Tamandua tetradactyla: one gene and its partners. The protein of the gene in region 1 interacts with the protein of each later gene in a biochemical or structural test. Links are inferred from orthologs where the notes say so. Each region holds a gene or a part of one and is shown on either strand. Other genes may lie near its edges.

Region 1 (7,367 bases):
TGAGTCAAGGAGAGACTCACCCAGAGTTTCACCCATAACTGGCAAAGAATAGGGATTTGCCGAAATTCACACTGATATTCTGTCTATTTCTTGTAAAGGACTGATCCATTAAAAAAAAAAAAGAAAGAAAAAAAAGAAGACGACGACTTGCAGTAACCGAACACGTGAATACACCAATGAGTCAAGACCTCCATTTCCAAATATTTGGGAGAGGCGGGAATAAACACCAAAAGGACCAGGCCTGAATTGGCAGGCCAGGAACTATTAAAAGAGCCAGCTGTGACAAAATGTTGTGTCATAATGTTGTCCACTGCTTTGGCAAGACTTGATATATTACAAGGAAAACATTGCCACACTGTCTGGCCAGTGACCCACATGCAAAGTGTCTTGTGAGGGGCACAGACCATAGAGTCTTGAGAATTATCAGAGCACAGAGGTGGTTCGATAATCAGATGCTTCTTAAAAGGTACACTTTAAATCTCCATGTTAAGACATGCCGGGTAACTTTATTTGGACAAAGTTTCTTCTAGCTGCTCAGCTTCTGGTTGAATTATGAATCCCCTCATCTGAAGAAAACTTTGGAACTCAAATATGTAATCATCTTTTTATTTTTATTTTTTTCTCTCTATTATCGTTTTATTTTTTTCTGTTGTCTTTCTATTTCTTTTTCTGAATCGATGCAAATGTACTAAGAAATGATGAATATGCATCTATGTGATGATATTAAGAATTACTGATTGTATATGTAGAATGGAATGACTTCTAAATGTTGTGTTAATTTTTTTAATTAATAAAAAAATAAAAAATAAATAAAAATAAATAAATTTGGTATCAGCACGCCACTGAAACGTTATATCTGTAAGGCATTCTACTGCTTTTCGTAGTCCCAGATGACACTGCCTGCTGCCCAAATTCTATAAAATTAAATAGCCGAGAGAACGGAGACAAAGCCTGACACTCACTAAGGTTTTACTTATCGGGTTTACATTTTTAAAACTTTCAGCTTTATCCATCAGTGACAAATGCAGCAATATTGCATCAGCTGATGTTTGAACACCAGGTGATGTTTAAATGATAAGTGCCATGTCATAATGAAAAAAAACAAAACAAAGACCAAAAAAACCACTCTCTTCACTCTCTGTGAAGAATAGCGCGTTACCAGAAAAAAAACAGAGAGTGACGCTGATAGGCTGGCGAGGAATTGTGGTCAGTTTTGTAATCAGGAAAAAGCTGGCTTCTTGCTCAAGGCCTTTGCCCTTTTTGGCAAGGAGAAATGCTAGCTGTGCCAAATGCCTAATGTGGGAGCAGGCCTTTTCTTGTCACATAAGTGGCCCTAATAAAACTGCAGTGACTTGTGGACTTAAAAAGATACCCCCACGTACGGCAGAAAATCAGATGGCAATAACCCTGTTATACTTACCCCAATTTTCCCCACATGGAATATATATATAGTTCATCTACATTCAGTTTCTCAGGTTAAAGCAAGTTTCTTGACAGTCCAAATGGCTGAGGCATTTCTAGTTGTGTAGAACTAGTTTTAGCCATATTCAGTGTGAATTCTAAATAAACACCTTGCTCCTTCCCTCTCAATGCTGGGAAATTTATTTATGTTACAAAGTAATCCCGACACGATGACATAATATTTGAGGGTGTGGTTCAGTGTAAGATTCTTGATTGGATTTTGGGTGAATCAAAGTAAATTATTAAAGTCAAGGGTGCTTTCGTTCTTTCTAATAAAACCGAACAAAAATTAAAGTGTCATTCTGCCTACAAATACTCCTCCTCAAGGTTCCAAGATGTGTTTGTGTCTGGTAGGCAAATTACAGCCGTATTTACTATTAAATGGCAGTATACAAACCAAGCAATATACAAAGCAACCCAAGCCACTCACAAAATGTCGATACAATGCAGACTATCTGATCAAATTTCATATTAAATTTCATTATAATATTTTGTCTTACAATACTGTAGAGTGAGTTTACTTCAAACACAATTTGCTCACATAGGAAAAAAATGGACCAAAATCAACTGGGCCAAATAAATTGAGTAAAATCCATTTCCATCTAATTACAGACTTGTTGGGTTCTTAGACACTGAAAAGATTTATTTTACATCTATCCATCACTTGTTCATTCAACATTTGTCAAATGCCTACTAAATTCCAGGTATTATTCTAGGCATAGAAAATAAATACATTAATAAGCCAAGGTTCCTGTTCTCAATGAGTTCATATTTCAGTGTATTTATTAAAGTTATCCCAAATACACCTACAAGAGTGATCTCTTAACTGATTTTAACTTCTGAATGCCAATTATCATGCATATATATCAGAAATAGTATATTTGCTTAAACAAAGTCTTTCTTATTGGTGGACAGCGTGTGGTCACCAGAAAATTCATGAGATTACACATGCATGTGAGTATTTCTACCATTATAGTTTCAGCTTTCCCAGCATCCAATTCTTTATAATAAAAAAACCTGAAGATATTATAAGATGCTTTAAAAAATGATTTCATTGGAATGGAATCATGGAGGTTTCCACCTAACCAAGGAAACCTCTATATAGAAGTCTACTGCTATTCTGTACAGAAGCCCCTAGAAGGAGAGTCCTTGGTAATTTTATGGAGTAAGGAGTGGTGGTAAAAGAGCCACCTTCCTTAGGCACCATGCACAAAAGCTAACTCAATTCCTTCTACTGAGGGATGTAGGGCTCTGCATGATCTAGAGGTTGGGAAGGCAGCTCTTCATGAACTTCTGGATATCTATAATGTATGTGGTTATGTGTATACTACCAAACCGGCAGGAGGAGATAGAATGGGGATAATCAGGAATGACTATTCATGAAGAGGGTGAAAAGTTTATTTAACTCTATCCTGGTTCATGAGTGTGGAAAACACTTGACAGTCTAGTGTTAGACTGAGATGAGACAGCTACTCTTTGATATTTAGTCTTCAATATTACTTTATGGAATCTGTCTTTGACCAAAAGGAAATAAATAATACTCAGTCCCCCAAAACAAACTCCTCCAATTCAGTACCTTTAGGAGAAGGCACCTAGACTAATAAAAGTGAATGATTTGGGGGGTGTGAGGGTAGCTCAGTAGTAGAATTCTCAGCTGCCAAGCAGGAGACCCACGTTTGATTCCCAGCCCATGCACTTCCCAAACAAACACAGAAACCAACAAAAACAACAAACAAACAAAAAATTCAACAAAAATTCAACGGGATACTCACATGGGAAAAGAATGAAATGTGACCCCACTGTACAGTATACAAATAAAAATCATTTAAAAAAATGAATGATTTTTTATTAAAAAGGCAGAGAAAGCCTAAAAAAAACCCATAGTTAACAGAATCACTGTATTTTATCTGTACGAAGTTCTCCCCCCCCCCCAAGTATTGTACAGTGTTTGGCATGATTTAAGTCAAAGATCACCATGAAACAGGATCTATATACTTTTATGTTGGGTTATTCTTGAAAGCTAATTAAAATTTTGCTTTTTAGCTACAACTTAAATTTGGATTTTATCCTCTAGATTGGATTTTAAAAACTGCTTTCAAAGCTCTCTTTTTCTTACATGTAAACTTTGGATGGATCGGTATATAATATTACCTAGAGTCTTATTTTCTTTTGCTATCAACCCATTTTCAAAAGTTGCTCCATTAGTGAGTGTTACTAAAACTTAGGCTCCTCCTAAAAGTTTAGGAGCTCCTTGAAAGAACAGCATCTTGCTCCTCTCTGTATCTCTGAAGTCTAGCCCAGTGTCCCTAGTTGGCATAAAAATACATGTTTATTGTTTTTATTGATGTGAATGATGACAGGGCAGCTGCTTGCCACATTCCTCTCACATGGATTATTCAAGGAGGAGCTGAGAGAGCTAATGGACCAATAACAGCATCAATCTTCTTGCTCGGACAAGACTTGAATTTCCCTGTGGTGCTCTCTCTGGAGGAAGTGAGATAATTGCTAACGACCAGCATGACTGCTGCAGCACATGCCTCCCCTTACCCAAAAGAAGTGCTGCATTTTTCAAGTGCAATTAAAGTTGGCTTGGAACCTTGTCTTCTGCTGGTGGTTGCATCAGTTCAGGGTTTCTTCGGAGTCAAAGGGCAGACAACATGGGAAGAATGATGTGCCAATGGGACACATGCCTTTTAGTGGAACAAATAATCTGTCTTCTTAGAAGTAAATTCCACCACCACCCACCCAGCAAGCTGAGTCTTCCCACAGAAAGACAGGGGATGGCCAGTACCAAAACAGACACGTCTCATTTGCTTTTGTCTTTTTTGGTAGAGAAATTCATTCTTCTTTAATCACGAACTCTAATTTGGTTTCAGAATTTTAAAAAGAAACGTATTTTCGATACAAGATTAATATTTTAAACCACTATGCCATCTTGATTTTCAATACTAACAGAATGAAACTACGTTACCTTGAAACCAACAGTTTCAGTTGGTGTGTGTGTATATATATATATATATATTTTTTTTCTTCAGTTGGTGTATAATTGATCTTCAAAATCCTGATTCAGATTCTAAAGTCCTAAAGCTTTTACCTGGGCTCAGCCACAAATCTGCTGGGTCCTTTCGCTGGTCCACACGTCTCACCTATAGTGTAGTCCATCGATAGTTGGTCCAGATGTCTCACCTTTCTGCAAAATGGATTAATCCTTAAAGCCCACTGGGGTCTGACATTGAGATGCCTACAATTATTTTACTGGAAGTTGAATAGGTATTCTGTATATTATATTCTTACTCATGTTTGAATTCTGAGTTTTCCTTTTCATATCTGACTGGTAATTAGGGGACAGTATAAAAGGTACTTTTGTCTGGAAAAATAATGCCCAATAGTAAAACTCTCAAAAAGAAAAATCAGTTGAGAATTTCCTTTTTTTCCCCCCCATTGCCTATAGTACCTGAAAAAGAGCCTAACGTGTCTGACCACTTCTAGGGATCAATTAAAAACTTTTCAAATTATTGTATCTTTGAACCAAAGAAGTCCACCTAAAATATGCTGACTTGTCTTTGCAGGTAATTTTTAAAATTCTCTAGTAATTGGGTTTCCATAGGCTATATTTTCAACCGACCCATAGGTATGTTACGGGAAATGCGAAACCTCTAAAATAGCTAGCTATCTTCTTTGGTTTTCAGATTTTATCAATTAATTTTTCCAGATTGGTTATATAGAGATTTCCTGGGTAACCTATCCAGTCATTGGTGAGCCACGTCTGTAAGGGATGTAACCCACAGATATCCTACGAGCAAGCTTGGTGTGCTTTATGTAAAGTAAGCAGTTTCCCCGTTCTGTGATCCTGCTAAAGGAAACCGACTATTGAAATCTCAGACTCACAAAGCTTAATACCAGGAAGGTTACACATATTCGCTCTTAGTTTTTCATGGAGGGAAAAATGGGTTCCAGAGAAATTCAATCAGTTTGCCCGACGTTATGACCCAGATAGAGAATAGCCGAGTTTGAGCCAGAAATCAGGTTTCTTGATTCCAGTCCAAAGCTCTACACTGTGCTCTCCCTCATTAAATTATTACAATGAAACGTTCACAGGAATTGTTCCTATCAGGGATCCTGAATGCCAACAAACATGTAAGAAGTTCATCGGCATAAAACCATTTGTATTATATGACTCAATAGGGACGCATGACCCACAAAAATATGAACGGTCACCCCGCAGTTCAAGGTCAGTGAGTTAGGATTTGGTAATATTTTTATTTTGCTAATAAATGCCCTTTACTTCATTCCTATGTTCTTCATAAGCCATCATAGAATCTTGGGGATCTTTTGGTACCAACAGCTTTCTACTGACACAGTTCCTTGGCCTTATGAAAATAATAGCATTATTATGTGAAAATGTCCACTTTGAGGTAACAATGCCCCAATTTAAAAATACCTTAGATGGTGACTGCATGATAATTCTGTATTTTTGACATGATTTTTCTTTAAACCCATGACTTCTCAAAAAAAATAAATGAGACATAACAAACCAAAAATACCTTGCCTGTATATTATTTAATTCAGCTGATACAACAATGTTAGGAGATTACTGAAAGCAAAACAAGAAAATAATAGCAGCTATTGAATAGGGCTGCAGCATGGAATAGATGATTTTTTTGGCTGTAAAACTCTGCCCATAGGTCTTTGGTCAGTATGGCAAAAAGAGTCAAATAGACCTGGATTGAATTCAAGCTCTGTCACCTACTTTGGACTTTTAGTTTGGGTTTTTTCATCTAAGAGAGTAATTATGAGACTTAGAGGATATGATTTAAATAAATCAGTGCCTGCAACAGAGTAGGTCTCAAAATTAACATACTATGAATTCTTCCAAGCAAAATTTAAATTTGACTGGACTAATAAAAAATCAATCCAATGGCACTTAATTAAGAAAATAACAAAAAGAGCAGTCACCAAGTAACCCTCCCATTACTTTTGTGTTCAAATGAGCTACATAAATAATTTTCAGGCAGGTAGGGTATACAAGTAGCATATGGAATCTTCAAAAACAAATATGAATTTTAAAAGTCCACTCAGAAGAAATAGACACATTCAAGCCACAGCTGTAGTCAAAGACATTTGATATAGAATAAAATATATCTGTGAAATTCATACATAAAACTGAATTTTAATGAAAATTAAACAATGGGTAGTACGGAAAATATTTTTGGGTCTATTTTCCATTAAGGGTCATCAATCCATCAATAGTAGATTGGGCCAAACTAAATGTTTACTGTCTTCGTTAGATGCATATTATCAAAATAACAGCATTATATTTCCACTCCCCAGAGCATTATAAAATCGGTTCCATTCTAGGGCTCTACATTCTGATCTATAGACTCTGTCTTAAAACATTAGTGAAAATTAGCAGACTGATAAATATAAACTAGCTTTAAGACTCAAATTTCACATTTATTGAGCACCTACTCTGTCAGGCGCTCTGCTAAGTGTTTTAAACTAGAACATCTTATTTTGACCATAAAAACGACATGGGCTTGACAGGTAGCTCCCTCTTTTTTGCAGAAAGGAAAAGGGTGAGGCCAATGTCAGGATTAGATAATTGGGCTATTACAGACCAAGCAATAGACACAAGTGTCATATAACCAGGGATACAAAGATGAGTAAGACTGGGTCTCAATTCTCAAGTCACTTTCCTCTTTTTAGTGAAGAGGAGTAAGACAAGTATAAATCACAGTACTGCAAGAGAAAGTAGGTGAGACTTGAGACAAGGACAAATCATAATGACCAAGTTATTGTAGTACCTTTTCTTTGTGTCAAGCCTCATGTAATATAGTACCACCAATTTTTATCCCTTATCTCTAGTCTTCATAACAACCTTGTGAAATAGGTGAGTATCATTAGTT
Region 2 (7,313 bases), on another chromosome or scaffold:
TGTTATTAGAAATTAGCTTTATTTCTCCTTTTTAAAAGGTTAAGACATTTTATTGAGCTTTCTACAAAATATGAGTTAAGAAGGATTCACTTTCTATAAATTTCATTTAAGATAAAGGGAGCCATCAAAAAATATTGTATAGAAAGAAGATCTAGCTCTGACAGTGTTGAGTACTACTACTCTAAACCCTGAAATTTGATCTTAATTTTCTAAAGAATCCTCTTACGAATGAACTGTATTCTGGAACAATACTGATTGAATTATAAAGAAAACCAAGTTTTAATATTATACTCTAGAAATATTAAACTATTCCAAATTAAGTAGAATTAGACCCTGTGGAGAGGGGACTGAAAATGTAAACTTTTAACAAGAATACAAGGTGATTCTACTAGAACTAGAGTTTGAAAATCTGTATCTAAATCTAAACAGGAAGAGTACAAACTCCAACATGGTAAGGGGCTGCAACAAAAGCTGTTTTGTTTGGCCTACAGTACGGACCTATATCTATACATTTTCTTTAATTATCTACAAATACCTAATACTAGAGAAATTTTACACACACACACACACACACAGACTTCTCACTTAAAAAAATAATACATACATACATATATATCCTTCAACATTGGTCCTGTTCTCTACTGCTGAGCTAAGTACATTTTGCTGCCTTTTCACTCTCCATCTTTTCCTATTACCTTCCCCCCAGGCTCATTGTTCACCATCTCAATTTTGTGCTTAGTCTCTGTAGGTATTGTAGTTTTAACTCACAATGCCTTGAATCCACAAGTTGTTCAGGATAATGAAGAGTAGAAATGATCAAATGAACCCCATTTATTTAGTTATGAAATACATCACCTCAACTTTTGCTTCAGCTAGTATTAAAATCTGTTTGCAAGGAGAAAGAGAAAAATACTCAAGTCAGCAAGATCAGGATAACATTTTTTAATTCATTGAAGATAACACCAACCCTTTTTAAGAGGTGTCTTTTAAAATATAATTTATTAAAGACCTTTTTCTTAGTCTTCCACTAGAGTACATAATAAAAATAGTATCTCTCAATTTAACTACTTTCCTTGAACTCTTGCTTTCAATACAAACACAAAGATAAAAAATATTTGGAGATTAGAATTATGTAGACTATTTTGAGAAGTCTAAATTTGCAAACCTGTCTCAGAATCAAGCATCAGAGCTTTTATAACCCATATTCTCATTCTGCAGGTCTAAATGTCACTGCCGGGCACACAATAAATCTTAATTCTAAAGTGATGCAAATCTCAGATCATAATTGGTTACCAGACTATTTTCCCACTTAAAGTTTAAATAAAAGAAACCTTAAAATGTATCTAAAAGTTAAGAACTAAGATTTAACTTTAACCTGTACTAACTTTTCAAGAGGTGGGCCACTTCAATGTTGAAGAGCAAATTAGTGTGAAGGATCTGTAATTGCACCCTACTTGCAAGTTAATGAAATAGCCTATCACGGTAGAATGCTGGCAGAAGTAATGAAGAACAGTTTATTACTTAAAACAATAGCATAAGCCAAACATGAGCATTTTTTGCACTGGTTGCCCCAGCCCCAGTTCCCAGAGGGTAACTGAAGAGGGCGGGTTGACACCTGCACAGGCAGCAGTTGTGTTACAGAAGAGGAACCCTATGCTTAGGGAACCTCAGTCTTTTATGTGGACAATAAACATATGTGCCACTATTCTCTATTTTCCAAATATCCTTGAAAAAAAAACAAGATGAAACAAAGGGCGTATCTCACAGACATGACGTGCAGAAACAGAGATCCATGGTGTTTCTCACAACTAGCACAGCTCCTGATATTTAATTAATTAGACTCTAAGACCACAATCTCTTTGGAGCCTCAATTTTATATACCACTTGACCTCAATTATTTAATTAGCATTTTCTCAAATTAATTCAACTATTCTCTCTAAGAAGTGCATATTTAAAATAATTCCCCATTTCCAGTTATTTGGTATTTTTAAAAAGTGCTCAAGTATTTTCAATATTAAAATTTTAAAAACTTCAAGCATTCTATTAGAAACAAGTAACTACTATGCTTATAACTTACTTTAAATGTTTCAAACCTGTTAACACGAGCAACGGGAACTACCTGTCAAAAGTCTCATTATACAGTAACAAACACCACAAAAAGAACTGTAACTTAAGCATTTCCAGCTGCTGTCTTAAAAATACTGGAGAATCTCTGCCCCGAATCACTTTGGATTGTTCTATTTTTCTTCACCGTTTACCTTCTAAAAATAAAACCTTTGAAAGGGAAAGACAAAACACCGTCTCTTGGTTCCTTTGTCCCATCAGAGGGGAGAGAAGACAATTAGACACGCATTAAGGTAACGAACCCAAAATACACAAAACAGGAAATAGACGGCATCCAACCTACAATCAATCATCAAATAAAGACCGCATCACTTAATCCTTATTCCTCCCTTCCCCACTCCAGTTCAAATAACGTGGGTATATAGGAGATGATTAGAATCAGATGGACCTGGACAAAGCTTTCGGTATACAGCGGGCAGCAGCAAAGAACCCGAGATACAGACTACAGCACAGTTCGAGAGGTTTACAAAAGTCCGGGTCACATGGGCCACCCAACCCTGGAGGAGAATGCTCAGAAGCAAAAGGAGCAGCAGCTTTGCCAAGTCCTCAGCACCCACGGAAGTTGCTCGCGGAACGCGCGGAACGCTGCAGAGCGCGCTGGCCCACCATGTCACCGCCGCCAACACAGACCCTCCTCCTCGCCCCTCCCCCGCCGAGCTCCCCGGCGGCGGCGACGTGACAGCGGGTCCCGGCGCACAGAGGCGCCCGCCTCCCCGGCCCGGGCTCCCCCACGCGTCCACGGTCAGCTCTCACCTTGGGTGACGAACGGCGATGTGCCACTGACTGGCGAGCCAGAGGCGGGAACGGGCGGCGGAGTCTCAGCCGAGCCCAGCATCGGTGCAGGGAGCATAAGGAAGCGCTGGGGCACCGGCAAGCAGCGCTGGCAGAAGGAATGCAGGCAAGGAAGCAGCTTGGGCGCCCGGCTCTGGATGTTCTGGTGGCACACGGCGCAAGTGTCCAACAGGTTGAGCCGGGCCGCCTCGCCCCCGCGCTCCGAGTCGGGGCCCTGCCGACTCTCGGCCTCGTTCTCTCCGCTCGGCGCTGCCGAGGGCCCCCCCGTGGCCGCCGAAGCTGCCGCCGCCGCCGGGGCCGCCGCCTTCTCCACAGCCACCTCCATTGTCCTGCCCCCGCCGCCGCCGCCGCCGCCGAAGAAGGGCGAGCGCGGTCTCCGCCCGCAGCCGCCGCCGCCGCCGCCCCCGACGACCTCCTCCTTCTCTTCAGAGACCGCTCTGTAGACCCTCAGGAGCGAGAGGGAGGAGGGGAGGAGCCGGGCCGAAGAAGCTTCCTCAGGCCCCAGGGATCCGCCTCCCGGGTGGCGCAGCCGGAAGACCGGGATCTGTCAGCCGGGACCGTTTCTCGCACCGGGAGGCTGCGCCCCCTCCGTTTCGCCAACCGCCGCGGTGCTCGCGGAATCCGCCCGGCCCACCCTAGCCTCCTCCCTCACGCTCCGCTGCCTACCCGCCTTTCTCTCCTACCCCACTGCCTACCTCAGTTCCCGCCCCCGCCCTCCCTCTCCCAGCAACTGAGGCGACCGCAAAGAGCGCACCGGCCAATAGCCGCCGTGCCTGGCGAAGGGGTGGGGCCGGGCGAAGCCCGGGAGGCTCACTCGGCCCCCGCGGGAGGCTGGGAGGTGGGAGGGCAAGTGTCCAGCTCCGCCCCCTCGAACTCCGAGAACTGCGGCCTCTGATTGGGCCTTTGTGGATGTTTAGCTCTCCTGAAAAGATTAAGGGTTCGTTTGTTAACGACGAACCACTTAATTCGATCTGCTTGTGTTTGCCCCTCCTACGGGGCGGAGCTCCATCGTATCTACTCAATGCCATTAATTAACTGCTTCAAAAACTCTTATTTTACTACTACTGGAAATGGGGTTCCTGTTAGGGTAAAAGGAGAATGAAGTGAAGGCAGTGAAGAACAAACAAGAGAATAACAAGAAGGGTGGAAAATTATTGTGTAAAAAAACCACTAAGGCAGCATTGATTTTTACCACCTGAATTTACCCAGTATGATGAATATTTGAGTATGAAGATTAAACGGGGACTTTTTCTTGCCAATGGGAAATTTTTTGATGATTTCTCCAATGAAAATGATTACATTTTAATGTCAATGATTTGCTTTTTAAATGAATCTTTATAGTGCATTTTCCAGGGATTTTATGAATTAAAATCCAATGATTGCAAAAAAACTTTATTGAACAAAATATCATTTTTCTTTAAAAAAATAAAAATAAATCTCAAAACTGATGTCCAACTAATTCATGACTTCAATATTATTCTTCTTCTCCATCCTGTAACAGAACGCACATTTTCACTAAAAAATGTCCACGCGTATAAGGAACAGGGTGGTAAAACAAGCCTATGTACCAAGTAATGTAAGAAATTAAAGTAAAAAAAGATTGCTCCTAAGTGCCTTTTTTAATTATATTTTTTAGTATAAATGAAGAGTTCTGGACGTTGGAGGAGAGTGGCATGGGATCAAGAAAGGCTTTGTTAGGATATGATCCTGGAAGAATACATTGAATGGCAATGGGTGAACGCAAATTCTAGTAATCGGTCTTCCCACAAGACCTAACAATTTCCCAGTTATTCTCCACCTACCACTCTCTTTCCTAAGCAGATTTTCAAATCTAGTATCCATAAATTACTCCACCATGAAGTTCTACTTAATGACATTCAATATTTATATATCATTATAAGGTGATCCAGAACCATCCTTACAGTACAGAGACCTATCCCAAATTTATTTGCTCACTTATCAGTCCCTCTATGATTATTAGCCCTTATTACTTACAGAAGATTGTGTTACGTAGGCTAGGGAAAAAAAAGTGTTAACTATAATCCCATTCCTTTGGGTGCACGCTAATCATAAATAAGACTTTTGAAAATGTTATTTGTAGTTAAAGTGTGGCCAACCGAATTAGTATTGGTCTTAATCAAGTTTACTGATGTCCTTGATGAACAAAAGAAATAGAGAAAGCCACAGGGATGAGCCAGAAGGCAGGCAGAAGTTGGAAGAGAAAGGAGAAGACATCACTATGTGATGGGAAAACCAAGGAGCCCCAAGGATTGCCAGCCTGGCAGAATACTACTGACCCCAGGAGAAGCAAGTCTTCTAGCCCCCAAACTGTGTGATAATAAATTCCCATTGTTTAAGCTAACCCATCCTGTGGTATTTATCATAGCATCCTGGAAACTAGGACACAACCTAACTGAACTTCCAGACTCATCCTTACTGCTTTCCCATATCTTGCCTCAAACAAATTGGAATACTTGCCATTTTCTAAACTGTGCCACCATCACTATCACCAGCTCTGAGAGAGGAGATAAGAGTTGTTTGAGTTGGAAGAGAAAGGAGTCGGTGAAAAGAGCAAGAGAGTTAGATACTAGTGAATATCTCCTTTTCCTCTCTCAATTGTTTGCATGCAGGTGTTCAGTATGTTTCCATTTTTGCTTGTTTGCATGCAGGTGTATGGCATGTTCTATTTTGCAAGAGACCACAGGCAGCTAGGTGATCTTGAATCTCAACCAACTGCAGCTGCTTGCCAGGGCACAAAGGTAGCCTGATGAATACTTGCTCAATCACCCTGTGGGTATATAAAAACTGAATACTTGGGCAGCACAAGCGTCCCTCATCTCTGATCAAAGTAGGGCATGTGGAGCTGCCATCCACTTGCCTTGACCCAGACATTTGACCTCCCTTGGCTTGAAGCTGCCCTAAGGAATTTATCCTGACCCAATTTTTGTGGGAGCAGTCAAATCTCTTTTAATCCTGATGTAATATTGTGGGGCAGAAACTTTAATTGGATTACTTACATGGAGATGTGATACACCCAATTGTGGGTGTGACCTTTTGATTAGATGAAGATCTGACTTTGCCCATTCAAGGTGGGGTTGCTTACTGCAGTCCTTTAAGAGGGAACCATTTTGGAATGGTCAGGAAGATACTTTTTCTGGGGAAAGGCTGCTGGCCTCTGGGGTTCCTGTCACATGGGAAGGCAGATGGCGACATCTGCTGGTCCTTCTCTCCTGGTTCTGGTTTCAATGACTGTCTCCAAATGTCTCTGGGAGTTTTCTCTCTAAGCTCTCTGGGCTTTTAGTGTCTTTTATCCTCTCTCAAAGTACTCCAGAAAAGGATTAGAATTGGGTGGGTCACATCTCCGTGTAAACAACCAAAGCAAAAGTTCCAACCCACAATAGGTCTGCATCCACAAAGATGGATTAAAAGAACATAAGCTTTTCTGGGGCACATAACAGATTCAAACCAGTACATGTGTATATATATTTTGTTTATCCATTCAGCAGTTGATGGAAACTGCGTTGCTTCCATCTTTTGACAATTGTGAATAATGCCACTATGTATATTGGTGTGCAAAAAGTCCCTACTTTCAATTCTTTTGAGTATATACCTAAAAGTGGGATTGCTGTATCATATGGTTATTCTATACTTAGCTTTCTAGGAACCTCAAACTTTCTTCCACAGCCAATGTACCATTTTACTATTCCACCAGCCATGAATAAGTATATCTATTTCTCTATCCTCTCCAGTACTTATCTTTTGTTTTTTAAATAATAGACTTTCTAGTGGGTGTGAAACTGCATCTAATTGTGGTTTTGATTTGTATTTCCTTAATGGCTACTGATATTGAGCATCTTTTCAAGTGCTTTTGATAATTTGTATATCTTCTTTTGATAAATATTTATTCATGTCTTTTGCCCACTTTTTAATTGGGTGTTTTGTTGTTGTTGTTGAGTTATAGGATTTCTTTATATATTCGATATATTAAACCCTTATCAGCTATGTGGTTTCCAAATATTTTCTCCCATTGTGTAAGTTGTTATTTTATTTTCATGATAAAGTCCTTTAATGCACAAAGGTTTTTAATTTTTAGTGAGGTCTCATTTATCTATTTTTTCTTTTGTTGCTTATGCTTTGGGTGAAAAGTCTAAGAAACCATTGCCTAACTCAAGGTCCTGAAGATGTCTTCCTATGTTTTCTTCTAAGAGTTTGATAGATAAAAAAAAACTAAATATAAGAGCCAGAACTATTTTGAGTTGATTTTTGTATATGATGTAAGGTAGGAGACTACCTTCATTCTTTTGTGACTGGAGATCTGATTTTCCCATTTGTTGAAGAGACTTGTGGTGGTTTGAAACGGTATGTACCAGAAGAATGTGTTTTTATAGTTAACCCAT
Region 3 (7,338 bases), on another chromosome or scaffold:
AGTCATGAGTGTTATCATTCCCTCTTGCCCACCAGAGGGGTCAGTCACCCTGACCCAGAGGTGATATTCAATCTGATTAACAAACAGTGAGCCACAGGCATCACCCAACCAGAGAAGACACAAGCTGTGGCACTGAATGGAGCAGTCCTGGAGGCCATGGTCATGTCAAGTTTTTACCTCTAGCTGGATGATGGGAATGTCTGGGAAGAGGATCCTGGGACAGAGGCTGGGGCAGAAGGGCAGTAGAAGGGGACCCAGGGAGGGAGCTGTTAACTGCCTGTCATGGAGGCATCTCAGATTCTTAACTTGTGTAGCTGTAACACTGTGGGCCAGCTAAACTTCATGGAGGCATCTCAGATTCTTAACAACTTGTGCAGCTGTAACACTGTGGGCCAGCTAAACTTCATGGAGGCATCTCAGATTCTTAACAACTTGTGTAGCTGTAACACTGTGGGCCAGCTAAACTTCAGCCTGCCTTGGCCTCTAAGCAGCTTCTAGGCAGCCCAGGGAGACTTTCCCCCCACACACACTCCCCACAACTAGGAGAAAAATGGCACATTCTTCTATGGACTACGGGGAATGGGGGTCGGGTAGGGGAATGAATTGTCCCAAACTTGCAGAAATTCCAGTGAGCGTCTCTGTTTCAATTTGGGAATGGGCTGCTTCATTTTCCTGACTGACCATGATCAGACTCACTGAGGTGAATGGAAGCCTGTAGGGGATGGGACCAGGGAAGAGTCGGTAGGGGTTGGAGATAAGGGAGAATCCTCCCCCCGCCCCACTCCCCCACCAAGGATAAAGGCAGATATGTAAGGGGCTTGGGAACTGATGCTATCCCTTGGGTTCACAAGCAGAGGCAAAATGCATCTCATCCTCAGAAATGAAATCATCATCTCACTCTGAGAAATTAATACCCTGATTCCCTGAGACCCAGCTCCTACACCCATTATGGGTTCTTTCCCTTGGGCTCCTACTCATAGGGGCAGGAAGGGCCCTGGAGGTGAGGTGGTTCTTTACCTATGTACAAACCACAATGTCTGGCTCCAAAGTGTCACACCTTTTATTACAAAAAGTAATAATTTAAGTCAGTTCTGTACAAAGTAAGTAGGACTTCTGGCCTATGAGCAACCTAAGCCCTCCATATCCCAGGAGGAGACAGGAGTCTTGGTCCAGAGACTCTGGGGATCACCAAGAGCTGGCCAGTTGGCTGAAGCACTGTGTCCAAATGAGGGAAGTCCAAGATAGGGCCTGGCTGGAGTGAGGGGCTCCACAGGCCATCTGGCTGAGCCAGGCTCAGCTTGATCCTAGAGGGCTGAGTGCTGGCTATACAGGCTTAGTCCTTCCAGGAGCATCAGGTCACTCCTGGGGACAGGCAGGCCAAGCCAGATTGAATTAACATTGCCAACCTCTGCACAATCTACACTGGATCTCTGCTAGGGCCGGGGCAGATCACCTCAGCAAAAGCACATCCTCGAGGAGGCTGGTGATGTCAGTGTCTCCAATCACCGGGCGAAAGAAGAGGTCTCTGAGCAGGCTGGGTGGAAATGACTTGAGGATAGAGGCCATGAGGAGGACACGGGCCAAGCGGATTTGGCCTATTGGGCACTGGGGCTCCAGGACCTCACATAGTGCCTGATGAGCCTCCTGCTGCAGGTACCCAATGTGGGAGGAGGCGTGGAGGCCAGGCACATCTGTAGGCAGAGAGGGTGAGAAGGCTGGTTAGCACCCCACTCCTAGCCACCAAGGGACGAGACCTGAGGCTGCCAGCAGGCACTGCCCTGCTTCTTTGCTCAGCTTTTAAGGCCCCATTCCTACTTCATTCATTTATTCATTTATCTTTTTATTCATCATCCATTTATGGAGAGGCAGCATAGAGTAATGGTTAAGAGCCGGACTACCTGGGTTTCAATCCCAGTGCCATCCCTTATTTAGTGCACGACTGTGGACAAGTTACTTAATCTCTGTGCCTCAGTTTCCTCATCTATAAAATGGGGCTAATAATAATACCTACTCTTAAGCTTGTTATGATGTTTAAATGATATTTAGTATATGTAAAACCCTTAGAAATAAGGTCTAGCATACAGTAAGTATAATATGTGTTCACTATTATAATTATTTCAGTTATAATAATAAGTATTATTATAATCAATTGCTATAATTTAAGCATTCCACAGGGGCCATTTGGTGGAATAGTCTTATCTTAGATGCTCTCCAGATTATAGAGAACATGGTCTCCATCTGCTGCTCTCCTAGGTGCATTTCACTAAGACTCCCTCCCTTTTCTCTTTTACACCCCCTTCGTTCTTCCTGTCTGTGTGGTCTTTCCAGACCTATGGAGTTCTACCTTCAGAACCTCACCACACAGTCTTCCCCTTTCTCTTCTCATCTTCCCCTCCCACTTCTCTCTGAGTTTTTTCTGTGTGATGAATATTTAACGATAATGGGGAACCAAAGAGGTGATGGATGTCAAGCCCTTCAAAGGTACCCTCCCTGGATGAGTCCTCCCTCCACTTTGGCCCCCATCCCGGAGTGTCTGGGAGCTCACCAGGGTTGAAGAGGACTGTCCCTTTCAGGTAGGCATACTCCTTGGGGCCCAGCTCCAGGCTCCAAAAGGACTCTAAGCAGTACTGAAGCCACTGCACTGCAGCCAGGGAGGGCTGGGGCCTGTCGGGCAGCTGAACACTGCCACGACTGCTGCCAGGCTCCTCCAGCAGGATCTTCTTGAGTATGCTGGGCATTGGGGCCTCGGCCACCTGGAAGGTCACAGTGTCTTGGGCCAACCCAAGCAAGAAGAGGGGGCCCCAGGAGCCCCGCAGCAGGCGCTGCTGATCCTGGACGGGCAGCTGGTAGAAGGATGGCAGGTTCTTGAGGAAGGCCACTGTCTTGGCCAGAACGTCCAAGGCCTCCTGGCAGGTGCGATGGGGAGCACACAGGCGGACGGGTCGGTGCTGCCTGCACAGGCAGTGGCTACGGGATGCTGGGACTGAGGGCCTGGCCCCAGGGCTTGGGCTCAGAAGTGCATACAGGATGGCTGGGCGGCCTGCAGCACCTCGACATGGGCAAGCCCCTGGCTGGCTGGAATTCATGTTTCAGAATCTGCTCCTTCTTTCTCCTGGCTCTTTTGCCCTCTGCTCTGTACTGTGGGTGCTATTTATATCCCTCAGGGTGGGGGGTGGGAAGGAACGGCCCCAATAGCCTTGACTCCAGAAGTCATGTTCATTGAGAAAAAAAAAACATACTGACCCTGGCAGGACTGGCGGGGAATGGTGGGGGAGGAGGGCAGTAGAAGCTCCACGTGGCGCTGATATGGCTTCAGTCAATGTAGGGGCCACTGCAGGGCACAGGCTGCCTGCCCGCTGGCCCGTTGCCCCTTATCGGATGACTCAAGAGAATATAAAGGGTCATTAACCCAGGCTGTACCAGGACACCAAGGTCTCAGGTGCACAATCAGCAGGTGGCCATGACAGGTATCCCAACTGGTGCCTGCTCTTTTAGGCACAGAAAACCAGGGCTTTTGCTAAACTGAGAAGCCAGCCCCAAAAGTGGAGAAGCCTGTTGTATACTCAAAAAACAAACAAAAAAAAACCCAGCACTCTTCCTAAGCCGGGAAGCCAGTCCCAGCAGAGCTGGAGAAGCCTTGAATGCAAGGCCCAACCAGGAAGTGCCTTATCACTGGTTTGTTTGCCTAGCCTTGGGAACGTGTTCCTGCTGTCAGGAGGAGAGCCAGGAAGAGAGCCAGGACCCTGGGGGCTGGGAAGATTATGCCCACTATGCAATCAAGGGGTCCCCTTTCTCTGACTCCAGTTCTGGGTGCCCTGCAGAAATGAGGTCCTTCAGAACACTTTCTCCCCAGCCTAGATTCCTATAACTCCTAAAAGGACATGTCTGCCACGAAGTCCTCATGGATCGATAATGAAATATGGCTGCTCTTTATCAAGGATCTGCTACGTGCCAGGCACTTCCCATGTAAATATTCACAGCTTCCCTATGAGGCAAAGGTCTTACTTTGTGAGACTCAAATTGGTGAAGCAACTTGCCCAAGGTCATGCAACTGGGAAGGGTCAGAGCCTGGATCTACCTGATTCCGAAGTCCTTGCTGTCCCTCTGTACTCGCTGACCCAACATGCAGCCAGAGCTATGCTACCTGACTTTCTCAGAGCTGGTGGCTACCTGGGCCCCCACCTAGCTGCTTCCTGGTCTATAGGTGATGCCCACTTGTGATCTGGAGGGAAATATTGCTCTGCCCATCCCCTGGGTCCTCTGTCCTCAGATGGTAAGACATATGGTATGAGAAGGAGCATGAGTCTCCTTGACTGTGTCACATCCCTGGACTTTGGCATGTCCAGCCTGGCAAACTTCTGCTACCACAGTGCCAGGCAGTGTGGTGCCCTGGACAGAGAGTGATAGGCTCTGGCATCATCCAGCCCTGGCATCTGCTCCTGGGTCCATCACATACTAGCTATGTCCTTGAACTGATCCTCAGACCTCTGTGGACCTCAGGAGTTTCTTTGGGGACAATAATATCTGTCTGCAGAGCTGTTGTGAGGACCAAGTGAGGTTCTAGATGTCAAGTTCTAAGCAGTTTGGGCATTCATTTGGGGACTTTGCTCTTTTCCTCTCCCTAAGGAACTAAGCACCAGCACACAAACAGGCAAATATCTTTCATTTGCTTGTGAATAATCTTAATTCCTTTCATTTGTTAAGTTCTTTCTATGTCCTCCTACCTCACTGGATCCTCACACCATCCCACTGACGGAGACTCTAGAGTCAGACTGCCTGGGTTCAAATCCTGGCTTCATCACTTCCTAATGAGTGACCTTGGGCAAGCCACTTCACTTCTCTCCTTGTCCTCAGTTTCCTCATTTGTTGGGGGTAGGGGAGCATGGGCCTGGAATCGAAGCTGGGTCCCCCACATGGTAGGGAAGCATTCTACCATTTAACCACCTGTGCATCACTATTTTCTCATTTTTAAAGTGTGGCAGAACATTCAAGAGAGGATATTGGTTTTGTGGGGCTAGAAACTTACACAGTTTGGAGGGCCTTCTGTAAGAAAAGAATTGAAAATCAGGTGTGAAGGTGAATATTAACAAAGAGAAGATAAATCACTACAAATTAAACTGACAGAAGGCACAAACATCCCTAAACTAGGAGAACAATAAAATATTTTTATTCATCAATTGCCTGATCAATTTGCCTACACTTTGTAGCTGCATAATCTTTGCTTAGCTCTTCATATGTCAATGATATTTTAATTTTAATTTTGGAGCATTCACAAACTTTCAGAAAAGTCCTAAGTACAGTAGAAGGAAGCTTTTTTATTTCCTTCACCGTTTGAGAATACTTTGCTATTTTTTTTTTTTTTGCCCTATAACCCCTGAATACTTTAGTGTATAATTCCTACAAACAAGGACATTCTCCTACATAACCCCATATGTTTTAGTCTGCCAAAGCTGCCAGAATGCAATACATCAGAGATGGATTGGCTTTTAATAAAAGAGGATTTATCTAGTTAAAAATGTATAGTTCTTCAGAGGAAAGGAGCTAACTTTCAACTGAGGTTCTTTCTTATGTGAAAAGGCACAGGGTGATCTCTGCTGGCCTTCGCTCCAGGCCTCTGGGTCCCAGCAACTTTCCCCGGGGTGATTTCTTTCTGCATTTCCAAAGGACAGGACTGAGCTGTGAGTGCTGAGATGAAGCATGCTGAGCTGCTTGGCTGTACTACACTGAGCTCTCACATTTAAGCATCCAGACAATTAAATCAAACATCATTCATTGCAGCAGACATGCCTCCTAGCTGACTGCATATGTAATCAGCAATAGATGAGCTTCATATGCCATTGGCTCATGTCCACAGCAACAGAACTAGGCACCTACACCTGGCCAAGTTTACACTTGAACCTAACTACCACATGTCTACCCCTTGTCAACTTGGCAACTATACATATCACTTTAAACGATATTAAAGTGGCAAAAAATCTCTTCTGGCTGTGGACCTATGAATCTCAAAACAAGTTATCTGATGCCAATATGCAAAGGAAGGACAGTCACAGGATACATGTTTTCATTTCTATAAGGAAAAATTGGAGGGAACACAGGAGTCACAAGACTCAAACAGTTCTGAAAACTTGCAGGGCAAATTCCATTGGATTTCAAAGTCTGAAAGTCATATATCCTTTGGCTTTACAAAGTGGCAATCCCACCCTTTCCAAGGGCCTATGTGGTGGCCCACCTCTTTCTGAATCAACCTCAGGGGACATTGAGGAGACCACCTTTTTCTTGGCTCCAAGCATCGGGGCCACACCTGGGCTCTGCCATTTCTGGGGCACACGCTCAACCCCTCCATTTGATGGTAGCCAGGCTCTCCCCAATTCCCAAGGAGTACCTTCTCCAAAGCCTGAGGTGACACAACTCTTCCACTGCAATGAGGTGGGAGACTCATCCTCTGCCTTCAGGGAAAATTCACTCTCTCCATGTATATAGGTGGGTTCACTCTCCTGGCCTGAGATTTCTTGGCTTCAGACCTAAGCTTCCATGGTTCTCACTCTGCAAACTCCAATTTGTTCTTTTTGTGTCCCACTTTGTTCAGATTGGCAGTGGTTCCACTTACACCAACAGTCTCTTCAAGCACTCCAGGACTTCTCCATCATTCTCTTCACAGTTCCTCCCAAATCTTCCCCTTATCCATCCAAAAAACTGTTCCAGCATGTCTGGTATTTGCAAACTGCAGCAGCACCCCACTCCTGGTATCAAATCTGTTTTAGTCTGCCAAAGCTACCAGAATGCAGCACACCAGAGATGGATTGGCTTTTAATAAAAGAGGATTTACTTAGTTAAAAACATATAGTTCTTCAGAGGAAAGGCAGATAACTTTCAACTGAGGTTCTTTCTTTGCGAGAAGGTACAGGGCGATCTCTGCTGGCCTTCTCTCCAGGCCTCTGGGTCCCAACAACTTTCCCCGGGGTGATTCCTTTCTGCATCTCCAAAGGCCTGGACTGAGCTGAGAAGTGCTGAGATGAAGTATTCTGAGCTACTTGGGCAGAGAGCTGCATTGAGCTCTCACATTTAAGCTTCCAGCCAATTAATTCAAACATCATACATTGCAGCAGGCACACCTCCTAGCCAACTGCAGATGTAATCTGCAATAGATGAGCTTCATATACCATTGGCTCATGTTCACAGCAACAGAACTAGGGACCTTCAGAGCTTCTTGGAGTACTGATTGATTCCAAGGCTGGGGCTGGAGAAGTAAATACTTTTTACACCAGAAAACAAAGAGGTGTTCAAAGAATGATGGGGACATGGCAAAAGGACATAGACTCCAACTGGAAGGAATTCCCA
Region 4 (7,942 bases), on another chromosome or scaffold:
TCTATGTTTTACATTATCTTCACTCAACTGTACAGTCATCAACATTCTTAATTTTAGACAATTTTCATTGCTCGAAAGAGAAAAGTAACTGATAAACACACCCTAATCAAATAGAAATCCAAATCTCTGCTTAACTCTTGTCCTCCCCTCTCCCACCCCAATTATTTACCTCTGGTATTGTTGTGGTACTGTTGACCTCTTCTTCTTACATATAGACCATAGCATGTGTGTTAGTTAGATTCAGTTGTCAACTTGGCCAGGTGAGCATACCTAGTCTTGTTGCTGAGGACATAAGCCAATGGTGCGTGAACCTCATCTGTTGCCAATTACATCTGCAGTCAGCTAGGAGGCGTGTCTGCTGCAATGAGTGACGTCTGACTTAATTGGCTGGTGCTTAAATGGGAGATTGCAACGTAGCACTGCTAGCAGCTCAGCATTCCTCATCTCAGCACTCGCAGCTCAGCCCAGGCCCTTGGAGATGCAGAAAGAAGTCTCCCCGGGGAAAGTTGTTGGAACCCAGGGGCCTGGAGAGAAGACCAGCAGAGACCATCCTGTGCCTTCCACGTAAGAAAGAACCTCAGTGGAAAGTTAGCTGCCTTTCCTCTGAAGAGCCAACAAAATAAATCCCCTTTTATTAAAAGCCAATCCGTCTCTGGTGTGTTGCATTCCAGCAGCTAGCAAACTAGAACAGCATGCAATAGTAGTTTTCCCCCATACCCCTCTATTATTGATTCTCTGTACAAGATTCATACCTTTGAACGAGTTCATACAAGAACTTATATTTGTAGTGTTAATCCATGGGACACATGAGTCTATACAATCCCTTTCAATCATGTTCACCTTCAATGTAGTAATATTACTTATAAATCCACTAGTGAACTGTTTTCACTTCTATTCATTCCCTTACATTTGAGTTCAACCTCATTAGATATCTCAAGGTTCTGTGTATCTCTAGGTCCCCTATATTCTATATTATAAGTCTCTGATTTTACCTTTACCACGGTCATAAAAGCAAAATCATACAGTAATCTATCCTTTTGTGTCTGACTTATTTCATTGAGCACTATGTCCTCAAGGCTTATCCATGCTGTCATACACTTCAGGACCTCATTTCAGGACCTCATTTCGTCTTACTGCTGCATAGTATTCCATTGTATGTATATACCACATTTTGTTTATCCATTCAACTGCTGATGGGCACTAGGACTGTTTCCATCTTTGGCAACAATCTATTTTGATTACTGTATTTCAATATAATTGGTTTCCTTTGCAGCCTATGTATTTTACTTTACACAATTAAAAATATTATTCTGAGACAGGTTCCTAGGCTTCACCAGATGCTAAAGGGATCCATGCACAGAAAAAGTCAGGATCCCCTGGCACTGGAAAAATCCAGAACAAGGAAAATATTACTGAGCACACATACTGTACTGAAAATCTTACTGTTATGAATGCTCCAATAATCTTTTTGTGGAAAGTCCTTTTTTATTAATGAGGGCCCTGGACCTACTATATCATGACTGATTTGCATAGGTTCTCTCAGAACTCTACCACAGCCCATCTGATCTTTGTCCTCTTCTCTGGCATGATCAAACTTCAACTAGATCCTGGATTTATATCATTATTCACTGTTATATTTTTAGACTTTTTGTGTCACTTTACCGCACAGTAAACACCTAGAAGAAAAGGATCATCTCTTAAAATTCTAGAAAGTCCAAGGTCAAAAGCATCTTGAAAACAACTTCTTTGCTAGAAGGTGGGTTAGAAAATATCAAGTCACCCATACTTTTTTGTATAACAGCCTTTGCAATGACAAACTCAGTACAAAACCAAAATAAAATCATTAACAGTTCTCTGATATATAATGTCATCCTTGACTTTTAAACACTTTTCTCCCAGCTAGCAAATTCCTCTAAGGCAGTACACTGAATGAGGAGGCAAAAGACCTGAGTTCTAGTCCTCCTTCTATCACTAATCTGCAAGATCTTGGAAAGTCAACTTTACCTTTCAATGTCTCAACTAAAATCACTACATGATCTGAAATGATTACATGATCTCTAAGGCCCTTAAAATTCTTTACACATTCACGTCTCTTCACCATTTTTACTGGCTTCAATAACACATTTCTGATGTCAATCTCCCCAGGTGACCCTGCTCTTAAGCAGTGGGCTGTCCCCTTCCTGGGAAGATACCTTGTGTCACCACCCTCCAACCGCCCAGTCCCTCCTTTTAAAGACACACACAAACTCTCTAAGTTTATGGAGGTTCTCTCTCTCCTTGCCAACTATTTCCACTCTCTGCATCCCTTCTGCTCACCAGCTTCTGTATCTAACCTAGCCTCCCTCTTTTCTATTCCTATCCAAGCCCTTCCCTTTTTCTGTTGCTCCCCCTCAACAGGAGTTGGGGGATCCTGGGGACACCAAAGTCCTCAGTCCCTTGGGGGTTATATGGACTTGCAATTCAGCCCCGGGGCTCCGAGGGCTATTCCAATAGGATAACCAATTCTGTCCTCCAAGGGTCCCTGTTTCTGGTCGCTCCTCCTCCAGAGAACTGTCCCAGTCCTGACAGCCTGAACTCGGCCGGCCCTATCAACCTCTGGGTCCTACCTGTTCTGGGGTCCTGTACAACGCCCATGGCCTGACCCTGCCCCAGGTCCGGCGCGCGCACGCAGCCGCGTGGACCTCGACCCAGGTTCCATTTGGACCCTGTGTCCCTTTTCCACAACCCCGGTCACGGCCCCATGGCCGGCTTCGGCCAGTTCTCCAGGCGCGGAGCGCCACCCAATGCAGGCGTCTGCTCGGCCCTGCACTGCACTCCCTCAAGTTCCCGAACCCGCGTCCCGCACCCTCCCCACCCCAGGCAAGGCCCCAGCTCCCTCCAGCGCCCCCGCCCGCAGGCCCCGGGCCCGCTCCCCAACATGGCGACGGGGACACGAGCCCGACGGACGGACGCGCGGGCGGGGCGGCTCCCGGCAGAGCCCGCACTACGGCCGCGCTCCGCGGTCGGTCGCCGCCATTTTCCCGCGCCGGGCCGGAGCAGTACCTCCTCCCAGCTGAGCCAGCCGGCCGGGGCCATAGACGCCCGGCAGGCCCACCCCTTACGGGCCTGCGTCGCCGTCGCCTCACCTGAGCGCAGCTCGCCGGCCCTCCCGGGCGGGCCTCGGAGCGCCAGCCCGGGCCGTGCGTGCCCGCGGCCCTCCGTGCGTGTGTGCGTCCGTGCTCGCCCGCGCCCGTCTATCCGGCGGTCCGCGCCCGGCCGCCAGCAGCCCGACCCGGCTGGGCCTCAGGGAGCCGGAGGGAGGGGGATGGGCCGGACCGGGCCAGGGAGGGAGGGGGAGGGAGGGAGGGAGAGAGAGAGGGGGAGGGAGCGCGGGAGGGGACGGGGTGGGCCAAGGGGCGGGGCCCTGTCCACGTGATCAAACGTCCTTGGGAGCGCTGGGCGGAGCCCGCGCTGGCTCGCGTGGGTGTGGATCTCTTAGACCTGAAATCCCATGGGTTTCTGTCTGCTTACCAGCACCAAAATCTCACCAGGGGCACTTGATCCTACTTTGGAAGCACTGCACAACCCTTTGGGAGTGCTCTGGCTAAATGTCTTAGGGCAAGTTACCTTTCCCAACCTCAGTTTAAGTATCTGAAATATTGAGATAATATTAATGTTTGCGAAGGGGAAATGAGGGAAGGTGTGGAAAGCACTTGGCACAGTGCTTAGCACTTAGTGTCTAATAATATCATCAATGATGATAAGGATAGCCTTTATTATTATTTGCCTGTAAGTCCCTCTCTGCTTTTCCCCATCACCACCATGATAGCAAGTTGAGTAAGTGCTTAATAAATATATCTTTTGACTGAACAAGTGAGTGCAGCTCCCTCCCCTCTCCCCAAATGTCAGGAGGCTTCTGCACAGGGCTTGATGTTTTACAATCCTGGATTCTGATCTTTTACTCTTGACAGTTGTGTTATTTTCTTTGCTTCTCCGAACTTCAATTTCCCCATTTATAAAAAGGGCGTTAAGGGCGGGCCACGGTGGCTTAGCAGGCAGAGTTCTCTCCTGCCAAGTTGGAGACCCTGGTTCGATTCCCGGTGCCTGCCCATGTTTAAAAAAATAATAAAATAAATAAAAAGGAAGGTGAGTCTGTCATAAACATCACAGAAGATAGACGATGAGCAGGTAGATTGTAAGCTGCTTGCACAGCTCAGGAATAATGGTCCCGTCTAAAAAAGGAGTCAGGGCCCCTTTAATTCCATAGATATTTATTGAGCATACACCATATAACTACATCTTCCGTGGCCCAACTCATTCTATTCTTCACCCTGCTGTCAGAGTAATGTTTCTAAGTCAGAAATCTGATCATATCACTCCCCTATTTGATGGCCCCGCATTGTTCTTAAGATAAAAACCCAATAAATATCTTTCTGTTTGCCTCCCTTTCCCTTCTCCAGGTTAAGGCCCTCTTCTCTGTTCTTTGGGCTGCAATGACAGTGGCTTTCTTAAATTCTTCACAGGATACCCTCCTTCCTCAGGACCCTTGCGCATGCGGATCATTCTGCCTAAAATACTCTCTGCCCTTTGGTAATGCATCAATTTTCAGGTTCCAGCTCAAACTCTCTAACCCAAGAATACCCTCCCTGATCACCCCCCAGAAAAGTCTTCTTAGCACCATGTGCTTGTCCTTGATGCAGAATGCACTAGATGGTTTACCACTAGACTGTGGATTCCACAAAGAGGGAGACCTTATCGTCTTGTTCACTGTTGTGTTCTAAGTACATAGCACGGTGCCCGGCACCTGGCACAGAGTAAGTACTCAATAAATGTTTGTTGTGTGTATGAATCCTGGCCACCAGGATAGATGTTGGATCCCAAAAGGACAGAGAAAAGCAAAGAGAACCACGAGGGGACACATACTTCCAGCCTATCAAATTAACTCCAAAGGAACTTTAAAGGAAGCTGGAAAACATTTTTGAAGCTCTTTAACTCTTTAAAATTGAGATATAATGCAAAAATCTTAAGTGTAATACCTAATACATATTTTTAAATCTATGCTCCTGTGTTACCAGGTCAAGTTACAGAGCATCACTATCAACCCAGAAAGTCCTCTTTTGTATCCTCACATGTGTCCTCTCCCTTTACTGGAGGAAATCACTACTCTGACTTATAGCACCAAAGATTAATTTTTACAATTCTTGAGTTTAAGATAGAAGAACTATACAATGTATACACTTTTTGTATTTAGCCTAGAAATCTAACATAACTAAAGAATGACTATTTGGATAATGATACAGTTTATGAATTTCTCGATTAATTCATTAATTTGAAAGATTAAGATGTGACCACGCCATCCTGCTGAGACAGGGGTCCTGCCATCAGCTGGTCCAAAAGCTGACCTCTTAGTCCCATAGAAGCTTCTAAAGGTAAGAAAAGTCTGCAGGATTCCAGAACCTGAGTGACTACCTCATTCTTCATTATCTTATTGGTGTCCTTAACCAAGGGTCATGTGTTTTCCTTAGATCAGGCAGGAAGCAGGGAGCAGAGGAGAGAGGGGCCCACTTGAGCACCTACACATCCTGTTGGTGGAAAGAGAAGGAGCATATGCAGGGTGGCATTGAACTGTAACAGGTCATGAGCTGGCAGACAATGTAACATAATGATGACAAGATTGGGCTCTGAAACCAAAATATCCAAGTTCAGATTCTAGCTGTGCTGTTTATTAGCTATGTGATCTTGGATAAATCCAACCTCCTAATTATATAGATAGGGAAACTGGACCAAAGGGAGATAAATGACTTGTCCAACAGAGTTCAGAATATTCTCCCTTCTTTGTTTTTAATCTAAATATGATTGATGGGGGGGGGGAGGGTGTGTACACACCCCTAGTAAAGTGTAAGCTCCCCAAGGAGACTATTTTTGTAATATTGCCATTTGTAATGTTTTGTACCTCAGTTACCTCATCTACAAGATGCAGATAATAAGGGTAGATAAGGTTTTCAAGAGGATTAAATGAATTAATGCATCTAAAATGCTTAGAGGAGTGCCTAGAACGATGACAGCCTCAATAGACACCAGATTGAACGAGGCCCCTGAAGAAGGTATCTGGCTGTTTTGCAGTGTTTTGAGCAAAAACAAGCAGTCCTGAGATACCCAGTTTCTTATTCTGGATTCAGACGTGGGTAAAGAAAATGCAAATCAATTTTTCTTTGGTATAAGCGGTTTTACTAATTAGCAGTTTTGAACTTCTACTTTCATTTAGGTGTCTGCATGGTCTTGAGCTTTGTAGTGATAAGACTGGTGGTGAATTCTTGAAAGACGTCTTTAAGAAAATAAGAACAGAGAGGAAAAAATCCATAACAAAGCCACCTAAAGAGCACCAACATTCTGTTGTCTACAGGCTTTATCCTAACAGTGCCAAACAACAGGGTTCCCACATTTAGCTGGGCAAGCTACAAGAGGGCGGCACCTTGGCATTGTAGATCTGTACATTTATTGTGCTAATTTACCAGCAGAAGGCAGTATAGTGCCTTGCTAATACGAAATCATTTCATAACAATTTTCAGACAAATGGAAATAAAATGCCCGAGAGGATAGGGTCAGTTTTTTCTACTTCACATAAAAGCTTAATATGGACAACAATGCCTTTCCCTTCAGAAATAAGAAGATTGAAAAATAGAAGAAAACAGAGCAATAACTACACGACTGAAAAAATTGAAAAGTATCAAAAACTAATGAAAAGAGATTCTTAGGACTAAAAAACCTATTTTCAAGAAGATTCTGAAATTCCTGTCCTTTGGAAAAAAAAAAAAACTTTGTCTTAGACTATAGTATAAAGACATAAATGTGAATGAATCATAAGTGTGAAAACCTGATGAATTTTTGGAAAGCGATCATACATGAAGAATCAGTGCTCAAATTAAGAAATAGAACATACCCATACCCATCAAGGGCAAACAATATCCTGACATCTAACTCTGCAGATTAGCTTTGCCAGGTTCTAAACTTTACATAAATGGGATCATACATAAAGTACTCTTTTGAATCTGGCTTCTTTTCCTCAATTTTCTATTTTTGAGATTCATTTATAATGTTGCAGGTAGTTGTATTTTGTTCACTTTCATTGCTGCATAGCATTTCATTATTCCATGTACCACAATTTATCCATTGCACTCATGACAGGCATTTAGGTTTACACTTTAGGGCTATTTTTAATACTACTACCGGAATATTCTTGTACATGTTTTTGGATGAACCTATGTACAATTTTCTGCTGGGGTATGCAGAATGCAATATATCAGAAACAGAACGGCTTTTAAAAAGGGGAATTTATTAAGAAGCAAGTTTACTGTCTAAGGCGTGAAAATGTCCAACTTAAGGCAAGGCTATGAAAATGTCCAAATTAAGGCACCAACAAGAGGTTACCTTCACTCAAGAAAGACCAATGAAATTCAGGGTGTTTCTCTCAGCTGGAAGGGCACATGGTGAAGTCAACTAGCTTTCTCTCCTGGTATCTTGTTTCATAAAGCTCTCCGGGAGGGTGTTTTTCTTCTTTATATCCAAAGGTCTCTGCCTGCTTGGGCTCTCATGGCTCTTTCCAAAATGGTTCCCTCTTAAAGGGTTCCAGTAAGCAACCCCACCTTGAATGGGGAAACCATTCCCCTCTCCTTTGGAAACCATTTAATCAAAAGTTACCACCCACAATTTAGTGGGTCGCATCTCCATGGGAGCAACGAAAAGCTCCCACCCAGCAATATTGAATGAGGATTAAAGGACATGGCTTTTCTAGGGTCCATCACAGATTCAAACAGACAGAATACAATGGTTTTTAGTATATTCACAGAAATGTGTAACCATTGCCACAGTTTTAGAACATTTTCTTCACCCCAAAAAGAAACCCTGTTCCCTCTACCTATCACAGCCCTACACTCTCATTCCACCAGACCTAAGCAATCCATTT

What was found.
Region 2: the proteins of PPARG (region 1) and TRIM24 interact in a test that uses a peptide from one of them, tested with the Homo sapiens proteins (2 studies listed by BioGRID). The link is inferred for Tamandua tetradactyla from reciprocal best matches to the Homo sapiens genes PPARG and TRIM24.
Region 3: the proteins of PPARG (region 1) and NR0B2 form a complex in vitro, tested with the Homo sapiens proteins (2 studies listed by BioGRID, with this or other methods). The link is inferred for Tamandua tetradactyla from reciprocal best matches to the Homo sapiens genes PPARG and NR0B2.
Region 4: the proteins of PPARG (region 1) and NCOA6 interact in a test that uses a peptide from one of them, tested with the Homo sapiens proteins (2 studies listed by BioGRID). The link is inferred for Tamandua tetradactyla from reciprocal best matches to the Homo sapiens genes PPARG and NCOA6.

Annotation. Positions count from the first base shown.
Region 1 is NC_135335.1:36,552,119-36,559,485, forward strand, and holds the start of PPARG (peroxisome proliferator-activated receptor gamma), read right to left. Parts: upstream 3,119-7,367; 5' UTR 37-3,118; coding exon 1-36. UniProt on the Homo sapiens protein: Nuclear receptor that binds peroxisome proliferators such as hypolipidemic drugs and fatty acids.
Region 2 is NC_135327.1:181,411,518-181,418,830, reverse strand, and holds the start of TRIM24 (transcription intermediary factor 1-alpha), read right to left. Parts: upstream 3,242-7,313; coding exon 2,878-3,241; intron 1-2,877. UniProt on the Homo sapiens protein: Transcriptional coactivator that interacts with numerous nuclear receptors and coactivators and modulates the transcription of target genes.
Region 3 is NC_135328.1:199,327,338-199,334,675, reverse strand, and holds NR0B2 (nuclear receptor subfamily 0 group B member 2), read right to left. Parts: upstream 3,116-7,338; 5' UTR 3,087-3,115; coding exon 2,546-3,086; intron 1,692-2,545; coding exon 1,450-1,691; 3' UTR 939-1,449; downstream 1-938. UniProt on the Homo sapiens protein: Transcriptional regulator that acts as a negative regulator of receptor-dependent signaling pathways. Specifically inhibits transactivation of the nuclear receptor with which it interacts.
Region 4 is NC_135327.1:17,839,031-17,846,972, reverse strand, and holds the start of NCOA6 (nuclear receptor coactivator 6), read right to left. Parts: upstream 3,315-7,942; 5' UTR 3,126-3,314; intron 2,221-3,125; exon of another isoform or gene 170-2,220; intron 1-169. UniProt on the Homo sapiens protein: Nuclear receptor coactivator that directly binds nuclear receptors and stimulates the transcriptional activities in a hormone-dependent fashion. Coactivates expression in an agonist- and AF2-dependent manner.